3 linked regions of the Ovis aries genome follow. The protein of the gene in region 1 interacts with the protein of each later gene in a pairwise test. Links are inferred from orthologs where the notes say so. Each region holds a gene or a part of one and is shown in the gene's direction. Other genes may lie near its edges.

What was found.
Region 2: the proteins of AIRIM (region 1) and KRT19 interact in binary tests that used the Homo sapiens proteins (3 or more experiments, as listed by UniProt). The two-hybrid records come from large-scale screens. The link is inferred for Ovis aries from reciprocal best matches to the Homo sapiens genes AIRIM and KRT19.
Region 3: the proteins of AIRIM (region 1) and RINT1 interact in binary tests that used the Homo sapiens proteins (3 or more experiments, as listed by UniProt). The two-hybrid records come from large-scale screens. The link is inferred for Ovis aries from reciprocal best matches to the Homo sapiens genes AIRIM and RINT1.

The regions. Positions count from the first base shown.
Region 1 is NC_056054.1:12,495,844-12,499,227, reverse strand, and holds part of AIRIM (AFG2-interacting ribosome maturation factor), read left to right. Parts: coding exon 1-57; intron 58-2,238; coding exon 2,239-2,410; 3' UTR 2,411-2,526; coding exon of another isoform or gene 2,527-2,564; 3' UTR 2,565-3,384. UniProt on the Homo sapiens protein: Part of the 55LCC heterohexameric ATPase complex which is chromatin-associated and promotes replisome proteostasis to maintain replication fork progression and genome stability.
Region 2 is NC_056064.1:41,473,672-41,477,712, reverse strand, and holds the start of KRT19 (keratin, type I cytoskeletal 19), read left to right. Parts: upstream 1-1,230; 5' UTR 1,231-1,285; coding exon 1,286-1,702; intron 1,703-3,343; coding exon 3,344-3,426; intron 3,427-3,649; coding exon 3,650-3,806; intron 3,807-4,041. UniProt on the Homo sapiens protein: Involved in the organization of myofibers. Together with KRT8, helps to link the contractile apparatus to dystrophin at the costameres of striated muscle.
Region 3 is NC_056057.1:48,154,355-48,158,520, forward strand, and holds the start of RINT1 (RAD50-interacting protein 1), read left to right. Parts: upstream 1-1,355; 5' UTR 1,356-1,465; coding exon of another isoform or gene 1,466-1,507; exon of another isoform or gene 1,508-1,892; intron 1,893-1,950; coding exon of another isoform or gene 1,951-1,996; intron 1,997-3,445; 5' UTR 3,446-3,482; coding exon 3,483-3,588; intron 3,589-4,166. UniProt on the Homo sapiens protein: Involved in regulation of membrane traffic between the Golgi and the endoplasmic reticulum (ER); the function is proposed to depend on its association in the NRZ complex which is believed to play a role in SNARE assembly at the ER.

The DNA.
Region 1 (3,384 bases):
CTCTGTGGCTGAAATGTTGGAGTGGTTGCAGGACATTGAGAGACATTATCGGAATTCATATCCTTTGCACACGTTTCACAGAGCTGTTCCAGGAAGTCTTGTTAATTTCAGTTTTCACCAGATTACACAAAAATACATGGTGTAAGTCAGTTCTCTTTGGTTCCTGGACGTGCATTCCTCCTGCATCCCTTTGTACAGTGATTCCTCAAATCATTTATTGAGCAGATGCCACCTTCCAGGCTTTATTCTAGGTGGTAGGAGCTAGACATTAAAAAGGGGAAAATATATAAAATGTCAGATGATGTTAAGTGTCTTGAAGAAAAATAAAGCAGGGATTGGGGAAAGCAAGGGTTAAGGGTGGGCTTGTAGTTTTAAATAGGGTGGTCAGGGCAGGCCTCACTGCCCTGAAAGTGGTTTCTAAGAAAAGATGTGAAGAGGGTGAGGGGAAGAATCGTGTGGATGTTTGGGGGAAGAGTGTTCCAGGTAGAAGGAGCAGCAAGTGCAAAGGGCCTGAGGTGACAGTGAACTTGGTCCGTTCAGGAAATAGCAAGGCAGCCAGTAGGGCTCGAGCCAAGTGGGCCTGGTCTAACAGGTGATGCTGTCAGGAGACAGGGCTAGGGCTGGTAGGGCCTCTGAGGTCTTTGGAAGGAGTTGGGCTTTTATTCTGAGAGAGACACAAGCTGTAGAAAGTTTTCAGTAGAGGAGTAATCTGATCAGACCTATGTTATCACCCATCTGTGTTCTGAGGGAAGACTTGGGTGGAAGCCAAAAGACCGTTTCACTGGAGTCCGCTCCCTTTTTCTCTCTAGTCTTGCCCGATAGGCGCGTCTACTCTCTGGCTGGAGTTTCTACCTTCATTTATTCTTGCCTCTAGTTTTGATTTTCAGTTTCCTGCAGCTGCCTCCTGACTGGAATCTCATGGAACTGCAGGCTCAAGTGGATGGAGATCAGCCCCCACCCCATCAGCTCCCTTCTTCAGCTGTAGCGTCACGTAGTCTGTAAACCGGAGGGTTGCCCCCGAGCCCACTGTTTGCTGATGGCATCGGTAGCGGCGCTGGCTGCGCTGGCGGCAGCAGCCAGGGCAGGCGTCATGAGCTCTTCCTGTGTGCCGGTGCTGTTGGAAGGGTGTTTGGCTCCACTGTCCAGTCCTTCCGCTCTGTTTCCTTGGTGTTTCTTGGAGATCCCTTCTGTATCCCCACTGCCTGTGCCACAGTCTCACTTGGATCCTTTGTCGCATGCCATCTCTAGGCAGGTTTCTCTGACCCTGGCTTCTTTCCTTAGAAGGAAGAAGCTACCTCGAGGTCGTGGCCACACTACAGGTTTATCTTCAGGAGTCCCTGTTCTGATCCAACTGGGTAGGGCTTCTCCGTAGCTTCTTGTGTCCCGGGGGTGAGACCCCGCACACTGGTCTGTGTCTTCTCCCTCCACCTGCCTGCTCAGCTGCCTTGCCTGCTCCCTACACACGATTCCATTCTGCATCTCGTTGGAAGATGTACTGTCCTGAATCCATTCCGTGCTTCCCCTCTTCTTTGTCTTGGTTTAAGCTCTTCCTACCAGCCGGAATCTTCCTACTGTCCTCTGAAGCAGTGGTTCTCCACCCTTCTTGGCGCTGGGGACTGGTTTTGTGAAAGTCAGCTTTTCCACAGGGACGGTTCAGATGGTAATGCGAGCAGTGGGGAGTGGCAGGTGAATCTTCGCTTTCTGGACCACCGCTCACCTCCTGCTGGGAGGCTCAGTTCCTAACCCGTCTGGCCACAGACGGGTACCAGAGATTGGGGACCCCTGCTCTAGGGCGGATGAATTTATCCTGTGAACTTCCACTGAGTTTTATCTCTTCCCATTTAGAGTCTTTTCAGTTTCTGTTGTGTTTTTTTCTCACCACAGTGAGATCCCAGTTTGCAGGGCAGTGTTTCATCCCTTCCCTGTAGCCCAGAACCTTGTATATAGAGGGGCTCGGTAAAGATCTGTAGCAGAGGTGAGCCTACTGCTGCTGCTGCTAAGTCGCTTCAGTCATGTCCGACTCTGCAACCCCATAGATGGCAGCCCACCAGGCTCCTCCGCCCATGGGATTCTCCAGGCAAGAGTACTGGAGTGGGATGGAGGTGAGCCTGCCCACCTGGTAAATGTAATGATAGCTGTGCTTTTGCTTTTCTAGCTCCTGGGAATGCTCTCCAGGGTATTTTCTTCCTTCAGCACATTTCATTTTCTTTTTGAGCACCTTCCTTAACTCCCAGGAAAGTACCTAAAGAGGAAGTACCTCCTGTCGTCAATCCAATGGGAAGACTTGGCAAACATCCAAGCTTTGCCCAGAGCCTGGGACCGAATCTCAGAAGATGAACACCCGGACCTTGTACGAGGTGCTGGTTTTCATGCAGTCGTTCGTGTCTGCTCCCCTCCTTTGTGTGTCTAGCCTCTTTGGAATCACGAAGAGGTTCCCCCTCCTGGTGCCTCTAGCTTTTACAGATCTGGTGTTTCGTGTTTTCTGGAGAGCTGGTATGCCGCATGTTCTCTCTCTTCCTGTTCTAGATGTCATGTTGAATGTTTCCTTCTTCCTGGAAGAATGAAGAGGCCATGTGTTTATCGGGAGACTCGGGGGACACAGATGAAGACCGACATTGCTGCCCTCTTGTATGTCTAAAAAATGTCAGTACTGCGTCCTGACTTACTGGAAATGTCAGTGCCCAGCGCCTGAGGACTGGCTCTTCAGCGGATTCTGCTGGACATTCCTGATGTTGGGGCTGCTTCATGCTGGGTCATGGGTGAGGGTACATGGTCACACCTTGCCCTTCCCTAAGACTCAGGAGAGTGGACAGAGGCAGAGAGGATGCAGGAAAGGTGGTGCAGAAGAACACCAGGGACAGAAGCAACAGCCACAGAAAGGGCTGGTAAGAAAGGAAAGGGCCAGGGTAGAGAGTTGGCACCACCCCCAGCATCATCCAAGACTCTCAGCCTCATTGACACCAGGTCCTAATTTCCTCTCTTTTTGTCAGTACCTGACTCCTTGATGGAAAAAAATGTCGCTTTGATGATTTAAAGAAGTGAAGGTGATGTTGATGGAAAACTCATTGTCTTCCAGTTGCAACGGCTCCTTGTCATCAGGACACTTTCTAGAGCATTCCACCAGGGGGAGGTGGTGTAGCATGAATTCTGAGTGTTTTGCATTTGGAACTGTTCCCTTGTTGCTCTTACTGACAGTAAGTAACTGGGGATAGTGGGGCTCTTAAAATAACATGGTTTTCTTTTTACCAAAGCCGGCAGCCAATTTGCTACAGGCCCCTGATCTTGGAGTAGCTGCATGGATGGGAGGTCCCCAGTCCAGAGTCAGGCAATCAGGATTGTGTTTCTGAGGCCCAGTGCCTTAATCTGTGAAATGGTTGTGATCCT
Region 2 (4,041 bases), on another chromosome or scaffold:
CATGGGGCCTCTGTCCTGAGACTGGGTGGCTGCTCTGACATAAGGATGGGAAAGAACTGTGGGGACAACTGTGAGGAGGAGTGAGGTCCCTGGGGACAGGAACTGGGGTGAGGTTGCTTCAGGACCTTGCAGTGCCTGGCACGGGGGCCTCCAAGGCGATCGAAAAGGTGGGTGGAACAACTGAACTGGGTGAAGAGCGGGCTCGGGGCGGCGTGTGGAGTGGAGGGGCACCTTCCTCTATTACCCAAACTCTCCACGGTGATCATGAGTGCCCTTCCTGGCAATCCATCTATTCATCCGGGTACTAGGACAGGACAAACAGACACAGGAGGATTCAGCCTTTGACACCCTGCTTGGAGATGCTCACAAGGACAGAGGGATGCTATCCTGTCTCCGGGCAGCAGGTGCTAAAAGACTCATGAGTGTTACTTGACTCGCTTAGGCTCAGAATGTATGCCTTTGGAGCTGGAGGTAGAGGGTTGTTCTGGTAGAGGGGTGGGTAGGAGGTGAGAGGCGCTGAATGGGGGATCAGCCCTCAGGTCGGGGGTCAGGGTAATTGTGCTTTTTACAGTCCGGTTGCAGATACCCTCCCAACAGCTGTTCCCAGGAGCCTATTGTCACCCTGGGGCCCTGTGCAGCCATAACAGGGTAGGGTGGCTTTGTCTCAGGAGGCCTGGGAGGTTGCAGCTCAGAGTACCTCCATCTGGGGTATTTGAGGGGGGCCAGGGTGTGGGCGAGCCCCAAGGGACAGCTTCAGAGAGGTGGTAATTCCCAGGGGCATGTAGGAATCAGGAGAATGTACTTTTGGGGGGCTTAATTTTGCTCATAAGTAAGGGGCTCGGAGTATGATGGGGAGGGGTACTCTGAGTGAGTGATCTGTACTCTCAGAAGGACTGTAATTCCTGGGGGGTGTCAAACTCAGGGTGATCTTAATGGGGGGCAGCATGTGAACTGCGGGGATGTCCAAGGGTGAGCGTGCTAGCGGGGTGTGGAGCTGGGGCTCGGAGTGGTCTGGGGTGGGGCAGCTCTCGGGAGGGCAGGAACCTCTGGCCCCTGGGAGGGGAGAGGAGGAAGCTGAGCCGCCAGGAACTGACCAATGGGGAGAGCGCCCTTATTTGCAATCAGGAGCCTGCAAATTCCAGGGCGCTCAGATAGCCGCCTGACACCGTCCCCCCTCCCCCTCCCCCGCCCGCCCCGGGCATAAAAGGCGCCAGGTGAGGGCCTCTCGCCACTCCTCCTGCCGACCGCAGCCACTCCGACCAGTGCCGCCTCGTCCTCCTTCGCCATGACTTCCTACAGCTATCGCCAGTCGTCGTCCACCTCGTCCTTCGGGGGTATGGGCGGCGGCTCCGTGCGCTTCGGGGCTGGAGGCGCCTTCCGCGCGCCCAGCATCCATGGGGGTTCAGGGGGCCGCGGCGTGTCCGTGTCCTCCGCCCGCTTCGTGTCCTCGTCCTCCGGGGGCTACGGCGGCGGCTATGCGGGCGCCCTGGGCACGTCCGACGGGCTGCTGGCGGGCAACGAGAAGCTCACCATGCAGAACCTCAACGACCGCCTGGCCTCCTACCTGGAGAAGGTGCGCGCCCTGGAGGAGGCCAACGGCGACCTGGAGGTGAAGATCCGCGACTGGTACCAGAAGCAGGGGCCCGGGCCCGCCCGCGACTACAGCCACTACTTCAAGACCATCGAGGACCTGCGGGACCAGGTGGGCGGTGGCCCGGCTGGGGGAAGTGCACCTGCCGCGGAAACCCAGCCCCGAGGGCCGGGCGAGGCCCGAGGCGGGGGCGGCGGGCGCCCCAGCCACCTCCCGGCGGGGCGGGAGCGAGCCCGTTAGGATGTGGGAGGCCGACAGGGTGGGGCTGAGCGGAGCCGGCAGGTGAGGAGGGGCAGGACAATGGGCCAGGAAGTGAAGCCTGCAGGGCGGGGCGGGTTAGTGTGGCAGGGCTGGAGGAGGAAGGCGCTCCGCTCCGCTAGGCCTGGGAAAGGGGGTCGGAAGTAGCAGGAGTTGGGGCACAATGTGGGCTGCCCTGAGGTCTAGGCCCGAGTCGCCGTGACAACAGGAACATGCAAGAGTTTGGCCAGGGAGAAATTCGGTCCACACCAGGCCAGCCCCGTCTCCTGCAGTCCCCGGCTGGGGCCCTCTGCATTCCTTTATTCCGGGCGGGGGCGGGGGGTCTGGTTTCGCTCACGCTCAGGCTGAAGGCCTCGTCTGCCCAGGGGGCCACTTGGGACTCTGAGGAGCTCTGGGAAGAATGGGAGAGGCCGACTCTGGGCCCTGGTCAAGGAGGGACAGTCACTGTGGCCCTTGGACCGAGTGAGAGTGAAGAATGCAACCGGTGTGCGGAGGCCCAATGCTCTGTGGGTGGAGACAGGTCCCAGCTCCAGCCTCTTCCTGGGCGGTGCTCAGGGTCCTTCAGGGTAGGGCTTGATCTCCGCCCACCCTACGGGGAAGAGCAGGAGCTGGGAGCTCGTCCAGAAGAAATGTTTCAGAAGCCAGTGGGACATTTAACAGTCTCATATGCCATGCATGCTTGCGAGTGTGCTCAGGCTCGTTGCGACCTCATGGACTGTAGCCCCAGGCTCCTCTGTCAATAGAATTTTCCAGGCAAGATTACTGGAGCCGGTTGCCATTTCCTTCTCCAGGGGATCTTCCCCACCCAGAGATGAAACCCAAGTCTCTTGTGTCTCCTGCATTGGCAGGCAGACATGTTGGATCTCCGAACACACAGCCCCCACAACATAGCCCAGGACTCACCTTGTGCCTGGCCTGGTGATGGGTGCCAGGTGCCTAGACCAGTCCCCCAGATGAGAGTTAGGGATGTAAACAACTAGGGTAGTGCTTTCACACTTGTAAAACAGTGACCTACACTAGGAAATACAGTTTACCCGAAAGAGGAGGTGCGAAGTGCTGACGCTTAACAGATACTCAAGAAATTCCCTTCCCTGAAGGCAGAATGTGCTTTGAGTAGGGGTGGGACAATGGGGTAACCCCTATTTTTGCTGCATCTGGTCTGCAGATCCCTAGAGGCTGCCTCCCTAAGACCATTAAGAGTTTCCCTGGGTACAGGTCTTGGAGACTTTTCCCTCTGAGGCTTACCGCTCTCCCCTGCCCCTGCCCATCTCCTGCCCCCTGGGTCAGCCTCCTTGGTAGTAATTTTCTCCTGTTCCAGCTCTCAGGCTTGGACTGATTTCAAGGCCGCCCAGAGAGCAGGCAGCCTGGGGTGGCTGGAGCTTTGGTCTCCAGGGACCCGGGGGCACAAGCACTTCTTTGCTTCTCTGGGAAGAAAGTGGGTGGGCATTGCCCATATGCTGAACTGGTGCCAACCTCTTGCCTTCTGCCTCGCAGATTCTCGGTGCCACCATTGAGAACTCCAAGATAGTCCTGCAGATCGACAATGCCCGTCTGGCTGCAGATGACTTCCGTACCAAGTGAGTGTCTCTACTTTAGGGGCTGCCAAAGCCAGAGCAGGGGAGGGGAGGCAGTCCCTTTAGGGGCTCAGAGCCATGGCGGGAAATGGATGCTTCCCTCACCTACCCTAGCTGGTCTAAAGCACTTTCCATCCCCCATGGGGCCTTGAGCCCAGGGGAGGTGGGGAAATCTTCAGAGGTGCAGAGGAAATGCTGGCCTGATTACGACTATTTCCTCTGAAAGGTTTGAGACGGAGCAAGCTTTGCGCCTGAGCGTGGAGACTGACATCAATGGCCTGCGCCGGGTGCTGGATGAGCTGACCCTGGCCAGGACTGACCTGGAGATGCAGATTGAAGGCCTGAAGGAGGAGCTGGCCTACCTGAAGAAGAACCACGAGGAGGTGGGTTTCATGCTGGGCATCCCATCCACCCTAACCGAGCTCCCCAGATAAGATTTTTAGCCTGTATCCTCTGCCTGTGGCCACATTTGCGGGCCTCTTGACCTGACCCTGAGTGTGGATTGTGGCTCTCAAGGGTTCTAACAGCAGATGGTGGTGACTCCGTCTGTCCCCCAGTGCTGGGTCCTAGGTCTGCACCTGAAAACCGGCCTCTCCCCGCCATGGCCTGGGGTATCGG
Region 3 (4,166 bases), on another chromosome or scaffold:
GAATTTCAGTGTGAAATAAATTTTCTTTTGAAGTTTGACAGACATGCTCTGATGTCTTCTGGGTTTCTTTGTGACCACTGAGAAATTGAATGATATACTGATTCTTGATCCTTTCTAAATGATCTCTTTTTTTTTTCCTCTCTGGAAGCCTAGGGTTGTCTTTTTGACCTCAGCGTTCTGCAGTTTCACAGTGACAAGCCACGGGATGAGTCAGGTTGTATCCATTGTGCTTGGCTCTCAGTGGGACCTAGTTCAATCTGGAAACTCCTGACCTTTGGTTTGGAGAAATTTTCTTCAATTGTTTTGCTGGTGATTACTCTTTCCCTAATCGCTGTTTTGTTTTTGTTTTTCTTTTAGAACTCTTATTTTTTTGGATTTTAACCCCCCTGGAGTGGTCCTCTAATTTATTTTTTCTTTCCTATTTTTTACTCACTTGACCTTTTGCTTCCCACCACCACCACCGCTGCCCCCCACGAACCGCACCCCCCCCGCCCCGCCCAGGATATTTCCCAACATTGATCTTAAAACTATTTTACTGAAATTTTCATTTCTACTATTATATTTTTTTGTCTCTAAATGCTCCTTTTAAAATAGTAGACTGTTACTGCTTTATGGTTGCGATGGGGGTCACGCATCTCAGGATATAAATAAAGTTTTCTCCTCGTTGAATGTTTTCTGTTTTCTCTAAGGGTTGCTTATTTCCCCTGCCCCTGTTTGCTTCAGTCTCCACGGTAGCACTTGCACGTTTGTTTTGAAGTCGTCAAATCCCTGGGTTCGCTATTTAACTCTTGATGGCAATCCTAGTCCTCCTCCCTAGCAAAGAACAGACTTCTTTGGTCTCTGCACTGGGCGAAGTATATAGTAGATGCCGAGTCCTTTTCCTCCTTTCAGCTATCGGAATGTGATCTGCACCCACCAGGTAGGAAGTTGGAGGGTCACCTCTAGGTGTATCTGATTTGCGGTAAAAGAAGGATCCAAAGATAAAAGACATTGGAGATTCCGCAGCTAAAACAGTCCAACCAAATTACATTAAAGCCAGTCGACAAGCCCCCTCACACTCTCAGAACATCTGGTATATCATCGGAAATATAAGTTGAAATGACTTAAGTGGAATTTATGTGGAGGGAGGGGTACCTTCAAGCTCCATCATTAATGACCTCAATGCAGTGGAGAAGATTTTACCAAGGTTGAGAAAGACCTCGTCCCCGCCCCTCCTCTCCCCCGCTTCTCCTTCCAGAGGGGTTGATCCGACCCCCGGACGGCAGGGGGAGCCTCTGCACACGGCCGGCAGCTGCACGGGCAGAGCCTCTCTGGTAGGAAAGGAAGAAACCAGAGAGACGGTGCAGGAAGTTGCCGTGGCGTCCGGCGCTACGGTCTCCGAGGCTCATCTCTGATCGCTGGCGGGAGCCAGAGTCCATTGGCCACGCTGGCTGCGCAAGGAGCAGACGACTCGCGCGGAAGCAGGATGCTCCTGGCCGGCGAGAGCGGCGAGGCACCCGTCACTCCGGTTAGGTGGCCCTGGTGACCCGGGGAGGGGACACTGGTGGCCCAGTGAGGTGGCACAGACCTCCAGGGGAGAGTGTCTCAGTGAGGTGGAGTTGACGGCCTGGGGACGCGGTTGCCGTGACCCCGGGGAGATGGCCCTTGCTGCTCTGGCAAGGTGGCAGACCTCCCGGGGGAGGTGGCCCCAGTGCGGTAGCTCTGGCGATCCCTGGTGATATGACCTAGATCGTTCTGGAGAGGTGTCCCTGGAGGCCAGGCAAGGTAACCCCAGCTCTCTGGGGATGTGACAGTGGTGGCACCAGGGACGTGGCCCTTTGGGAACCTCCAGACTCTGGCCTCCCAGGAAGTTGAGAAGTTGTCCTCCACTGGATGCCCCCTGAGAGCCCTGTGTGAGTTCCCCCTGTCACGTCAGTCTTGATGTGTTTGTCTTACCTGTTCTCCTTCTAGTGCTGCTCTGAAAATGGTGACCAAAAGAAGAACCTCAAGGAGAAAAGTAAGCAGATTCCAAACACCTTAGCACTTTGCACCCAGCCATCGCTCCAAAACTCGGTTCTCGGGTCTGCATCCAGAAGGATCTTATTAGCCTGTTAATCTTTTAGATAAAGTATCGTTTTTTCCTTTTTGTACAACCTGCTTGCATAGTTGTTGACCCCATGGACTGCAGCACGCCAGGATCCTCCATCCTTCCTATCTCCCTGAGTTTGTTCAGATTCATGTCCATTGAGTTGGTGATGCTATCTAACCATCTCATCCTGGGCCACCTTCCTCTCCATTTTTCTTCAGTCTTGCATAGTAATAAATACTAATCATCATGCACATATTTTTGACTTTCAAGATTGTGTAAAATGTGGGGTAATTTGGAGACTAGCACTTCCTGATCCCTACCTAGTGCAAGGACTGGTGTGGTTTCACTCCAGTGCTGCCCTTCCACTGGGTTCAGAATAATTGGGGCCTGCCTGTTATTTTAATGAAGCATCAACTTGTTAAGCATCAGGAATTTGGAGGGGCTAATGATCTAGGAGAGATGACCATCATCATAGTTGCATTTAAAGGAGTCAAATAATAATTGTTTAGTTGTACTTTACCTTCAGTGAATTTGCAGTTAACATTGATCTGGGAAGAGCACAACAGATCACCTGGTTCCTGGATCTTGAACTGGGCAAGGAAAGGGAAAAGGTCAATGTTTACTACCTGCAGGGGCACATGCCAGGGCTGTGAACATTTGGCATTTTACTTTAATGAGCTAAATGTGGCAAGCTTTTGGGAAATCATCAAGGGCTTTTGAAGTGAAATTTATGGGTAGAGGAAGGGGGAAGCATGGAACAGCTGTTCCATCAAAGAGTTTTTGGTTCTTCTGACCATGGCAAATAGTCTGGGAATGAGTAGTGGTAACAGACAGGGTGCCCATGTTACCATATTGGCATTAGGACTTAGACTTACCCTTAACATTGCCTGTTGCTACAGTCTGTCTCAGAAAGCAAGCTATGAGCACTTCATAGTACTTGGCAGTCACAGCTGCCACAACTCAGCTCCTTTTACCTAAAGGCAAAGGATTTGAGAGGATCTCATACCATTCAGTTAAACCCTTCCCTTTCCACCTTTCCCCCATTCATATGCTTGGGAAGTTGATGCCACTGAGCTGTAGATTTTATCTTTGTCTCTCCTTTGGTGGCTTGGTCAATTTCTCTGCAATTAAAAGTGTGCTTTACAAAAAATAGAGGAGAGACATTAACACCTCCCTCCCCACCCCCGAAAATTACCAGTGGGTCATTTTAAAGGATGTTATTTGAATAAGAATGTACTATGGTGCATTTAAATGGTTAAATCAAAAAAGTATAATATTTTTGTAAAAAGTGAAGGTAGAATTTACTCTATAAGCTACAGCAAGCTTAGAGTTCACAAAATATTCCCTCCGCCCATAGTCCTGCCTCTGTGTCTGCAGATACATCACACAAACTTACATGTTTTATGTAAGATAAATGAAAAGACATGGCATTGAGACTCCTGTACATAATAGTATATGGATTCCTGTAGTAATAAAGTTTGATGCAGTCCAGCCAATTCTGATCATACCTGAAGGAGAAGGTAAGAATATTGTGTTAAGAGTCCCACTTACAACCTTTTAAATGTAGGCAGGGCAAATGTTAGAATTTATAGTTGGGAAGTTGAGGCATAGACTTTTATTAGTTTTGCTGCTACCTACCAGTGGGCTACTGGTTCTCATAGCATGGGAAAAAGCATTTAATTCTTATAAATTGAATAGAACAAAGGAGAAAAAAAAATTTATGGGCTGGGGAGGGGAATATACACAGCGTTAAACACTGGTATATATTATGTTAATTGCTGATAGTTACATTTTACACTTAAGCATATCTTTATTTAGATATTCTTTCATTTTGTCAGAAGTGGCTGTTGTTTTCTAATGAGGCTGTTATAACCTCTTGCCCTTCATTGCTGTTTCTTTAAAACTTTATTTTTGAGAAGCAGACTCACAGATACAGAGAACAAACTAGTGGTTACCCATGAGGAGAGGTAAGTGTGGACAGGCAATATAGGGGTAGGGTATCTAGAGGTACAAACTATTACGTATAAAATAAGCACTGAGTGAAATAAGTCAGACAGGAAAAGACAAATATCCTATATCACTTACATGTGGAATCTAA